Linked DNA regions of Xenopus tropicalis. The protein of the gene in region 1 purifies or fractionates together with the protein of each later gene. This does not show direct contact. Links are inferred from orthologs where the notes say so. Each region holds a gene or a part of one and is shown in the gene's direction. Other genes may lie near its edges.

What was found.
Region 2: the proteins of polr3k (region 1) and polr2e purify together in Homo sapiens (affinity purification with mass spectrometry; 5 studies listed by BioGRID and IntAct, counting the BioPlex papers as one, with this or other methods). This does not show direct contact. The link is inferred for Xenopus tropicalis from reciprocal best matches to the Homo sapiens genes POLR3K and POLR2E.
Region 3: the proteins of polr3k (region 1) and pdrg1 purify together in Homo sapiens (affinity purification with mass spectrometry; 3 studies listed by BioGRID and IntAct, with this or other methods). This does not show direct contact. The link is inferred for Xenopus tropicalis from reciprocal best matches to the Homo sapiens genes POLR3K and PDRG1.

What each region holds. Positions count from the first base shown.
Region 1 is NC_030685.2:40,340,880-40,344,632, forward strand, and holds the start of polr3k (DNA-directed RNA polymerase III subunit RPC10), read left to right. Parts: upstream 1-1,520; 5' UTR 1,521-1,554; coding exon 1,555-1,665; intron 1,666-3,753. Other genes in the region: snrnp25 (U11/U12 small nuclear ribonucleoprotein 25 kDa protein), read right to left, coding at 1,331-1,351. UniProt on the Homo sapiens protein: Core component of RNA polymerase III (Pol III) which synthesizes small non-coding RNAs using the four ribonucleoside triphosphates as substrates. Can mediate Pol I proofreading of the nascent RNA transcript.
Region 2 is NC_030677.2:100,197,289-100,201,041, reverse strand, and holds the start of polr2e (DNA-directed RNA polymerases I, II, and III subunit RPABC1), read left to right. Parts: upstream 1-1,510; 5' UTR 1,511-1,520; coding exon 1,521-1,577; intron 1,578-1,787; coding exon 1,788-1,962; intron 1,963-2,060; coding exon 2,061-2,176; intron 2,177-3,753. UniProt on the Homo sapiens protein: DNA-dependent RNA polymerase catalyzes the transcription of DNA into RNA using the four ribonucleoside triphosphates as substrates.
Region 3 is NC_030679.2:29,815-33,567, reverse strand, and holds the start of pdrg1 (p53 and DNA damage-regulated protein 1), read left to right. Parts: upstream 1-968; 5' UTR 969-999; coding exon 1,000-1,089; intron 1,090-1,357; coding exon 1,358-1,433; intron 1,434-2,196; coding exon 2,197-2,271; intron 2,272-2,546; coding exon 2,547-2,627; intron 2,628-2,883; coding exon 2,884-2,966; 3' UTR 2,967-3,753. UniProt on the Homo sapiens protein: May play a role in chaperone-mediated protein folding.

The sequences.
Region 1 (3,753 bases):
ACACTCCATAATCTACAGCCAGGCTCTACGATATAATCGAATATGTTCTGATGCTACTGAAAGGGACCACCACCTAAGAACACTCATGGCAGATTTCATTAACAGGGGCTACAACCCAAGGATTGTGGATCAATATATCCATACAGCCACCAGGATTCCCAGAAGTCAACTTCTACAATACAAACAAAAAACAGAAATAAATTGAATTCCTCTAGTTGTCACATACGATCCCCAACAAAAGACCCTCAGAAAAATAGCCAAGGATCTACAGTGTACACCTCAAAAGGATGAGAGGCTCCAAAACATATTCCCAGACCCACCACTTCTGGCATTCAGGCAGCCCCCAAACCTAAAACAACTAATAACAAGAAGTGCCTTAATTCAACCCAACAAAAAAGGAACTTATCCCTGTGGCAAAAAAACAATGCAAAACCTGCCCACACATCTGTAATTCAGATTTCAGACACATTAGAGGAATACAACATCCATGGTCAGTACAACTGTTCTTCTTCCAATATGGTGTACTTAATACAGTGCACTAGATACTGAACAGGAGGACTGTATATAGGAGAGACTGGTCAAAGCCTGAGAAAAAGAAATACACACCACCGTTTTACTATAAGAACGCGATTTCTGATGGTGGCCCTGGTTCTATCAATTAGATGCTCTGCTGTACAGTGCTTCGTACATAAGTACTGTAATGCTTATACCATGTGGGGTTGATTCTCAGCACATGAAAAACCACAGGCCAAGAATCAGTTCCTTGGGCATCAGCCTCCTACTTTTCCAGGTCAAACCACTGCGTTGGCCCAGGTGCAAGCATACAATATGAATATCCACTCTAAAATGCTAAATTTACAGTTTCTTTGCTGATATCTGCCATGTGTGCCTGCACCCAGGCCAGCCCAATAGTTTCTGGTGCAGGCAAGGTAGGAGGCTGTCAGCGGAGGGACTGATTATCTGCATGCGGGTTTCCATGCGGCATCAGCCGTATATAAATAAGAATATAAATAGTTTATATAAACAAGCTTCTATGCAGCCATGGAGGAAGCACTTCAAGATAAAAAAAGGAGAAAGGCACAGGATACACAGCAGATACCAGATTAACACGAATATACCACCACTGCATTTTATTACAGAGCATATATGTTATATGATATCCAAACCTGTGCCTTTTCTCCTTTTCAACTTAAATGGCTGCAAGACTTCTAGTTCTGCTTTTGCTTTGCAAAAATTGCTCTTCTCGTGTTATCAGTTTTTGGGAGCTGGACTTAAATGTAGAAATTTAGAATTTCGAGTTAAGTTTTTCAACGCAATTTCCACTACCCACCTTTAGTTCACACCGTTTCATTCAAGTTACAAATGGAACTGTCGCAGATTTCTAGGGCGCCCATTAAAGACGTCATCACCGGGCGGAAACGTGCGCAATAAGATGTAATGTAGGTGAATGCGAGGCTAGGGCAAACGCGTGGTGATCATTCTGCTTAGGCAGCGGTACTGGCGTCTGGAGGATGAAGTGGTTGATGCGAAGTTTGAGCTAATCTGTTAGCAGCAATGTTGCTATTTTGCCCGACGTGTGGGAATGTGCTGATCGTGGAGGAGGGACAGAAGTGCTACAGGTTTGCCTGTAATACCTGCCCTTATGTGCACAACGTTAATCGCAAGGTATAATGAGGTCTTCTGAAGTGATAGAAATATGGTTTTAAGCGGCGTAAGTGTAGTCCTGGTGGCTACGAAGCCTTTTTATGCCTTGTGTATGCCAAGCATTGCTAATTGGCAGATAACATTACATTAGCAACAGTACAATGCGCTGATTTTTAAGTGCGGGATGAATCTGTATAAATTGCTAACAACATATTCTGGTAATGGCTGGGGCTTTTAGCTCTAAATTGTGTAAGTTTAATAGACTTACAAAGTTAAAAAGGTGATCTTATCATTTATGTTTTATGATAAATACTAAATAAAATGCATAGTAAATAGATACACCTGCTACCCCCACCCCCCAAAATGAACATTTGAATATACGCATATGACCTGTGATTTTTTTTTTTGTCTGATTTTTGCTAGTTTGTGGCCAAGGTCTTGCTTTTCTTCCTTTTTGGCTATTACCCTTCTGGGAACAAATCATCATAGAAGGGCACACTTTTAACCCTAAATTCACAATACCCAGAACACCACAGCACAATCACTTCCCCTGTGGAAGTGCATTACCTTGCTAAAGCACACTAATATCATAAATATATATTATAAAATGTGTCCTAACACTTTCATAAATAATATCTAAATAAATACATTTGAATATATATTAATACATAGGGAGTTCTGACCGCTAGATACTTATTTGACAAACTTTAAGGGGAAATACTGTAACCCTATCTTCACCACTTCTGGCACCTTTGACAGTGTTACACTCCACGAGTGGCGCTTACCTGATGGCACGGGACAAACCTGAATCACTCCGCAGTGGTATTGGGAGAGACTGGGTACCTGGTACTTATTAGCGCAGTGCCTCCACCTAGTGGGATCCTGGAGTGCACCTACGGGTGGCCCCACTAGGAACAATAATAATGCACACACAGTACTTGATAAACGAAATAACTTTTATCTGAAATAAAGGGGAAACTAATACAGATAACACTCCTATCCAAGTGGCAATAAGGGCCTTACTAACTAGCTTTGCCAGCGCAAGCTGTCTCACTAACTATGTACAGTCCTTTAGCTCAGTCCCAAAAGAAACAGTTTATATAGTTTAAATCTTCAAGCGCTCCTTTATTACTTTCACTTTAATGATACTCACTCCAGGAATCTCTTTGGGTGATTCACACAGAATCTTCAGGCGAGTCCAGCACTCACAGCCATGCAGTGCGACTACTAGCCCCTTTAGCTACTCAGATGGGATTCCCCTGCAGGTGTTTGTTCCTCCAGTCAGGACTCCTCACAGGATCTCTGTCTCTCCAGGTACAGGGTCTGCCTTCCCTGTACCAGCCTGTTCCAAAGGCCAGCTTCTTCTTGTGCTGCTCCTCTCTCTGAGCCCACGTGCAGCTTCTGGAGTTCTGGGGCTTTTTCTCTCCTCCCACTGACTTCCTCTCCCAGGCTGCTTTGCAACTTCCGGCAGCCCTGAGCTTGCTGTTCACCTTGTTGCTAGGCAGCAGCTCACAGCACAAAGTCTCAGTGCCAGCTCCCCTACAGGGAACAGCAGCAGGAGGGGGGTAAGTGCAGGGACCCAGCACTACCTCCCTACATTCTCCCCCTGCTTGAATGGGCAACGTCCTCGCTTGCCCTTTCTCACCATTCTTATTCTCCCTAACCTTTGGGGGAGATACACAGGGGAAAGCTTCCTCACTAACTGCCCTGACACTTCCCCTGCCTGAAGGTCTACGCATTCCCAGGCCCAGTCTCTTACTTTTATTGGGGGTGCCAGAGTGCTCAGAGACCATCCTCGTGCCACAGGATTTCTCTTCACAAATATTCACTTCACATGGGAAAGATGTCACATATACATCAGTGAAGTCTTCATTCCGTCCCCAGTCACAGGTGTGGGAAGTATGACCGTACCAACCACAGGTGTAACACCTCACCTGATTACGTCTCTTCCGATACCTCTTTTGGGGTGGCTTCCTCACAGCACAGCCATATGAAATAACTTCTGTAGCTGCAGCATTTTCACGTTGCGTCGGACAGTGTGGGGATATATGGCCCAACCGGCCACAACGGAAGCACTTTGGTGGGTCACCGCGAGCACCACCTGCTTTA
Region 2 (3,753 bases), on another chromosome or scaffold:
CCCACTTTAACCTGCAGCACTAATATCCTCCTATTGTGTCTGTAAGTTACCCTCCCATTTAGATTGTAAACAGAGATGTCCACCCTCTTGTCTCTTTGATTGTTAAAGGGATACTGTTGTGATTTTTATGGTATACTTTTTATTTCTGAATTACACTATTTACATAGCAAATAATTCAGTCTACCATTTAACATTTTATTCTTGAACCAACAAATGTATTTTTTTAGCTGTAATATTGGTCTATAAGCAGCATTGTGCAAGTCTGAGCTTTCAGAAGGAGCCAGCGCTACACATTGGAACTGCTTTCAGATAACCTATTGTTTCTCCTACTTCCATATAACTGAAGGAGTCACAAGCTGGAATTGGATTTCTTACTATTGAGTGCAATTCTGAGATCTACTGGGAGCTGCTATCTTGCTACCTTCCCATTATTCTGCCGATTGGCTGCTGGGAGGGGGTTCATATCACTCCAACTTGCAGCTCAGCAGTAAAGTGTGAGTTCAGAGCACAGGTCACATGACTGTGGCACCCTGGGAAATGAAGAATATGGCTAGCCCAACGTGAAATTTCAAAATTAAATATAAAAAAAATCAGTTTGTGTTTTTGAAAAATGGATTTCAATGCAGGATTCTGCTGGAGACGCTCTATTAACAGATATGTTTTTAAAAAATACGTTTTTCCCGTGACAGTATTAATTTAACGTATTGTATCCTTACCTTGTATTTACTATCATACTTTGTATTTATTTTATTGTAATAGTCCCGTTTATTCTATTCATTTATTGTCCTACTGTACAGCGCTGGGTACATAAGTAGTGCTATATAAATAAAAATATATATACATACATAAAGATAATATTATATATCAAAATGGGGCTTGGGGCAAAAATAAAAAAAAATCTTAATAAAACACTGCTCGCCTTAAAACAGTTTAACAAGTATTTCTAAAGAATATTTAGTTTACGTAATTCTTGTAGTTAGCCTATCATTGGCACATTACCACACCCTCTTTTGCCAATAACTAATCCCTATACCTTTAGAGGGTTAACTCTTAAACTTAGCCACTTATAATATTAATGCAGAGCGCCATGTAACTATGTGACGCAATATAAATACACGAAGACGATGAATATAGGAACGGTAGTAATACCCACCAACAAAATGGTGATCTTTACAAGAACATGTACGCCGGCTTCTTGCCTACCACAAACATGGCCGAGCCCTTCAACTGCGACGATGCAATTTCTTTGGTCTTCCTTAGCGTGATACCGAAACTTGAACAAATTCTACAACCCGAATAGCCACCTTCAGCAAAAAAGGGAAACGATATTATGCGCAACTTTATTCCTTTTCCACAGTGCAGTTTTAAGCTAATAACACGTCCTCAGAGATACCCCACAGCAGTATTCGCTTGTAGCCATCAGGCAGAGTGAGGGCAGCCCATGTAGGGTCCTCCTGCAGCCCAGGGAGCCGAGCTCCGGAAATCGCGCTCTTCTTCCTGTTTGGTCTCGTGGAGACAACATGGACGATGAGGAGGAAACTTACCGGTTGTGGAAGATCCGCAAAACTATTATGCAGGTGAGAAAATTGAGTTTTAAATCTTTTTGTGTTATAATCTTCGCCTTTTTCAGTAATTCGAACTCAGCTACGTTGTGTTGGGTACCATTCATTTCTGCTTCCAGCATATACTTCTACTGTACTCTTCGTCCCTGTCACTTTTACTTTTGTGCTTTACCTCATCTGTCTCCATATTACCTGTTTCACTCGCATCCTTCTTTCCTTCGCCAGCTGTGCCATGACCGTGGTTACTTAGTAACGCAGGATGAATTGGATCAGACACTGGATGAGTTTAAAGCCCAGTTTGGGGACAAACCTAGCGAAGGGCGCCCTCGCCGAACTGACCTGACTGTATTAGTAGCTCATAATGATGATCCCACAGACCAAATGTTTGTTTTCTTCCCAGGTGAGTAGGTGCAAAAAAAAAAAAAAAAACAGTGACTGGCTGAAGGGTCTATACATGCAGACAAAGGATTATTACATGTTTGCCTGTCTTATTTGTAGAGGAACCCAAAGTTGGCATTAAGACAATTAAGATGTATTGCCAGAGAATGCAGGAGGAGAACATTACGAGGGCTTTAATCGTGGTGCAGCAGGGAATGACCCCATCTGCCAAACAGGTAATTCTGCCAGCTAACGTGCACCTTACCTAAGCATACTTACTGGGTGAACTGCAGTTCTGATCCAAAGCTTTTATAAATGAAAATGTACAGATAAAATATATACTACTCCGATGAATTAATTTTCTATGTGATTTGTATGTTTTGCTGGCAAAAGACACCTAAGCTTTATTTTTTATCTTAAAAATGGGATAAGTTTGAAAGACCCTTCTTTAAAAAGGAATACACCTATTATTAAAACTATAGATCTCATCTGCTAAATGCAAAAAAGTGCAATTTGCCATATTACCCCTCAGTGCAGCATCCTTCCTGCAGCATAGGCATACACTTACATGGTTGTCAGTCATGTGCAGTTCAGCTTCCACAACCTTGATTGGCTATGAGTGCATAAGGAGGCCCAGTGCTTAAAGGAACAGTAACACCAAAAAATGAAAGTGTATAAAAATAATTAATATATTATATACTATTGTTTTGCACTGGTAAAAGTTGTGTGTTTTCTTCATAAACACTACTGCAGTTTATATAAATACCCTACTGTGTAGCCACGGGGGCAGCCATTTAAATTGAAAAAAAGAGAAAAGGCACAGGTTGCTAAGCAGATAACAATTAAGTAGCAGATTCCCATTGTATTCTACACAGTTTATCTGGTATCTTCTTATGTAACCTGTGCCTTTTCTCCTTTTTTCAATTTAAATGGCTGCCCCCATGGCTACACAGCAGCTATTTCTATTAACTATAGTAGTCTTTCTGAAGCAAACACGCAACTTTTACTAGTGCAGGGCAACAGTAAATTATATTTTAATTATTTTAAAACATTTTTATTTTTTAGTGTTACTGTTCCTTTAACACCAGGCCCAGACTGCCAGTCTGTGGATTCTGGCAAATGCCAGAGGAACTGCTGTAAGATCCCACAGACAGTTGCTGTTTGGGCCTTTGTGTATTTGAAATATTAGGGCCTATTTTGAATCTCAGCCTGGGTCTGCATAACACCAGGTCAAACCAGATGTTAAGCACAGGGCTTGGGTGCAAGTAGGTGCAGGTCATATGCGTATGCTGTTTAAAATTTGCAATTCTGGCTGATGAACTAACATAGTCATATTATCCAAGTATAAGCAGGTTACCGTTTTATGTTCTCTGGCAAGTAAGATAAAGGCAGACGTTTACTAGTTAATTAGTTACTAGTTAATATTGTATGATTATTACTTAATACTACTACCACGTTTTCTAAAAACAGGATCGAATCACTTTATTTGCCTGATGGAAAGGTAAAGGACAACTATAAACCTTCTCTCCTATGATATAGGAAAGAGGATGGACCGGTCATTGCATATAAATATGAATGTAACCTTTTCATGCTAAATCATAATAAAGACGTTAAAAAAAAAAATTGGCAATTCTGCACCTACTTCTTGTAAGTGAGCCCTTTTGACTTCAATCCAGTTGAAACCTTGTTTCCTATGCATAGGATAAATACTGCCAAAATCTGAAAAAATATTTTAATTATTAAATTATCAGTTAATGTAGTAAAATGTTTACATGGTGTTAGTCCATAATAAATACTATCCAAAGCTTCTGCC
Region 3 (3,753 bases), on another chromosome or scaffold:
GAGATAGCTCTCAGTACAAGTGAAGGAATACAGGGGTATGAGAGATAGCTCTCAGTACAAGTGAGGGAATACAGGGGTAGGGGAGATAGCTCTCAGTACAAGTGAGGGAATACAGGGGTAGGGGGGATAGCTCTCAGTACAAGTGAGGGAATACAGGGGTAGGGGAGATAGCTCTCAGTACAAGTGAGGGAATACAGGGGTAAGGGAGATAGCTCTCAGTACAAGTGAGGGAATACAGGGGTATGGGAGATAGCTCTTAGTACAAGTTGCCCCAGGGACGGGTCCGATTGCCATCTTGGAGTCAGGAAGGAATTTTTTCCCCTCTGCGGCAAATTAGAGAGGCTTCAGATGGGGTTTTTTGCCTTCGTCTGGATCAACTAGTAGTTAGGCAGGTTATATATAGGCATTATGGTTGAACTTGATGGATGTATGTCTTTTTTCAACCCAACTTACTATGTTACTATGTTACAGTAGAACAGCCCCTTCCTACTGGTTTGCCCTGCTCCCATGTACAGTAGAACAGCCCCTTACTAATGGTTTGCCCTGCTCCCATGTACAGTAGAACAGCCCCTTCCTACTGGTTAATAAATTTCTCCAGCAGGGGCAGAGCAGCCAATCAGAGAGAAACTATAACTCCCAGAGGGAGCAGTAACTGTTCTTTCACTCTAACTCCCAGAATTCCTGCTATTAAAACTACTATTCCCAGAATGCCCTGACAGCCGCTACAGCCAATCGGTGGCAGGTCCCTGTAGCCCCTCCCTCGCAGTGTCAGACGCTCAGGCAGTTCTGCAGAGTCCAATCCAGAGGTTTCTTATCCTCCCACGCCAGTCTCTGGGCCGAAAGCAGCGAAGCATTTTGGGAAGCCACCGCCCCCTTCCCTCTCCCCGGTACAGCTTTGCGTTCCAGATTCCCAGGCGCCTGCTGATTGCGTCATAGCGACTCACTTCCGGCAGGCTCATCGTGGGCTCCCAGTACACACTTCCGGTTGCCGTGGTTGCCATGGAGCAGTTTGGGGGCCCGCAGAGAGTGTTGTCCTACCTGCAGGAGGTGGAGGGGAGAGCGGAGGATGTGCTGGGGAAGCGGCGGCAGGTGGGGCCGGGGGTAACATGGGGGCCGGGGGGTAACATGGGGGCCGGGGGGTAACATGGGGCCGGGGGGTAACATGGGGGCCGGGGGGTAACATGGGGGCCGGGGGGTAACATGGGGGCCGGGGGGTAACATGGGGCCGGGGGTAACATGGGGGCCGGGGGTAACATGGGGCCGGGGGGCTGGGGGTAACATGGGGCCGGGGGTAACATGGGCACCGCTGGGTAGTAAGGGTCACTGCTCTGTATAACTGTGTGTCATTCTGTCCCAGATTGTGGATTTGGATATAAAGAGAAACCAGAACAGAGAAGCCCTGAGGTCTCTCAGCAAGGACCCCTCTCCAGCAGGTAAGTGAGAGGCACTGGGGGGCTGCAAGGACCCCTCTCCAGCAGGTAAGTGAGAGGCACTGGGGGGCTGCAAGGACCCCTCTCCAGCAGGTAAGAGGCACAGGGGGGCTGCACCTTGCCAGCAGGGTAAGTAGGCAGCACAATACGCTATGGGGGGGAGTGAGGGTGAGATTGCAGGGAGGAAAGGGCTACTCCAGGGAAAAAGCCAGCCCTTAGCGCTACACTCTATTGCCCACAGCCAAGGGGTCCTTGGTGTCTGGAAGCCAAAGCCACTGCTGGAGACAGGAAGGAAGTGATGGTACCCCGTAATGTGTGTCATGTGACTCATTTAGAACAAACATAAATACTGGCACAACAGGGCTGTTTCAGCGGGATGAACCCTGCTATCTTATTAGGTGCAAACCATGTACAGTTTCGGGGTGCGCCCCTTCATGCGACTTCCAAACATTACATGGTTTGCACCCCGTAAACTAGCAGGGTTCATGAAACAGCCGTGTTGTGCCCGTGTTTATGTTACAGCAAAGGCTGCCAATCACTCGATACTCAGCACCAGGCAGAATGTATGTGCCAAGGCCAGGGTGTACCGGTGAGTGTTACAGTTCATGTTACTAAGTTAGCACAGGTTGCAGGGATCAAAAATGCTCCAACTGAGCAAGGATTGGGTTAACGGTCTGAACTCTTTGTGCTGCCAGCTTGTCATTCCTTTTTGAGAAAGAACAGTTGTTAAGTGCCCCAATGGGTTCCTTTCTGTCTGTGCTTGTAGGAAGGGTAACTGTCTGCTTTGGGAACATGTTCATAGAGCTCCCCAAGAGCAAGACCAAGGAGATCATAGAGCGAGGTGAGTGTGGGGGTACATAGAGTGAGTGTGGGGGTACATAGAGTGAGTGTGGGGGTACATAGAGTGAGTGTGGGGGTACATAGAGTGAGTGTGGGGGTACATAGAGTGAGTGTGGGGGTACATAGAGTGAGTGCGGGGGTACATAGAGTGAGTGCGGGGGTACATAGAGTGAGTGCGGGGGTACATAGAGTGAGTGCGGGGGTACATAGAGTGAGTGCGGGGTTGATGGCAGGAAGGGGAATCACAATGTGTGTTTGTACCATTCTCTCCCACAGACCAAGAGCAGCTGGATAAAGAGATTTCAGGGCTTCGCAGGGAGCTGAAAGTGAAGGTGAAAGAGCTGTACGAGGCCCAAGGTGAGACTCAATAACACAATCTATTAGACACCCCCCCACCAATGATGCAAATTTGGCCCAGTTTCATTATTGATACTCTCTGAGCCCATCAGTAGGGTGAGCAGTGCTCCCCAAATAACACAGACTTGTACCCACACAGTGAGAGTTACATGGGTACAGGCTGGCCCTAGTGCTGAGGTTCATGTTCGCACAGGATGACCCCATTGCTACTATTGGTTCTGGCTTGGCACCAAGACTCTCGTGTTTCTGTTGGCAGGAAAGCCAGAGCTAAAAGGCTTCGACCTGGTGGCACTCTCGACAGAAGAGATGAAATCCATTCAGAAGGCGCTGGGAGAATGAGGCTCTGCTAGATAACAGCATTTGGGGCAGATCATCCTTATCTTGGGCCCTCACAGCGCAGGGACTTTAGTTCCTACAGTACGGATCTATCTGAATCAGATGAAAGAACTTATAGTGCAACATGAATGTTACCCCCAGGTGCAGAACCTCTAATTCATTACAATTTGATTAACTCCTTGTTCCTTGGATTTATGTACAGTGCAACTTAGAAGACACTTAGCCTTTAATTCTGAGGAGCAAGGTGCAATTGCCATATTTAGGGGTTAATTTATCTACTGCTTCTTTTCTAACTGGATTCAGTTCATCCCACAATCCTGTGTATTTGTACTGTGCATAGACTGGATGGCTCTACCCACTGGTATCCTTGGGGCTCACGCCTGCACCCCGGATGTTATTTGAATCATATGGGTGTGGCTCACTGAGGCCCCACTAGCTGGAGGGCACACACAAAGGTTGGACTGAGCTGGGAATCCCCATCCACCATCTTATCTGAGCTTTGTACCTATAACTCTAACACTCCTTAACACGTTATATCTGATGGGCTCTGCATGGCAGGCTTTGTGGTGGCCCCCTGCAGGGCCCAGTCTTTGCTTTGTTGGAGGGAATAAAGCTAGGGTACCTGTCAGGACTGTGCGTAAATATCTGTACCCCATTATATAGTAAAGAATAAGTGATTAACCCCATTGCTGCTGAGCTGCTAGTGACACAGTCACAGAAGTGCTGGCAGGTCACCATGAGCCCGTCAGAATGGTTGCTGTGTAACCAGAACTCATGTCTCCTAGAGGAC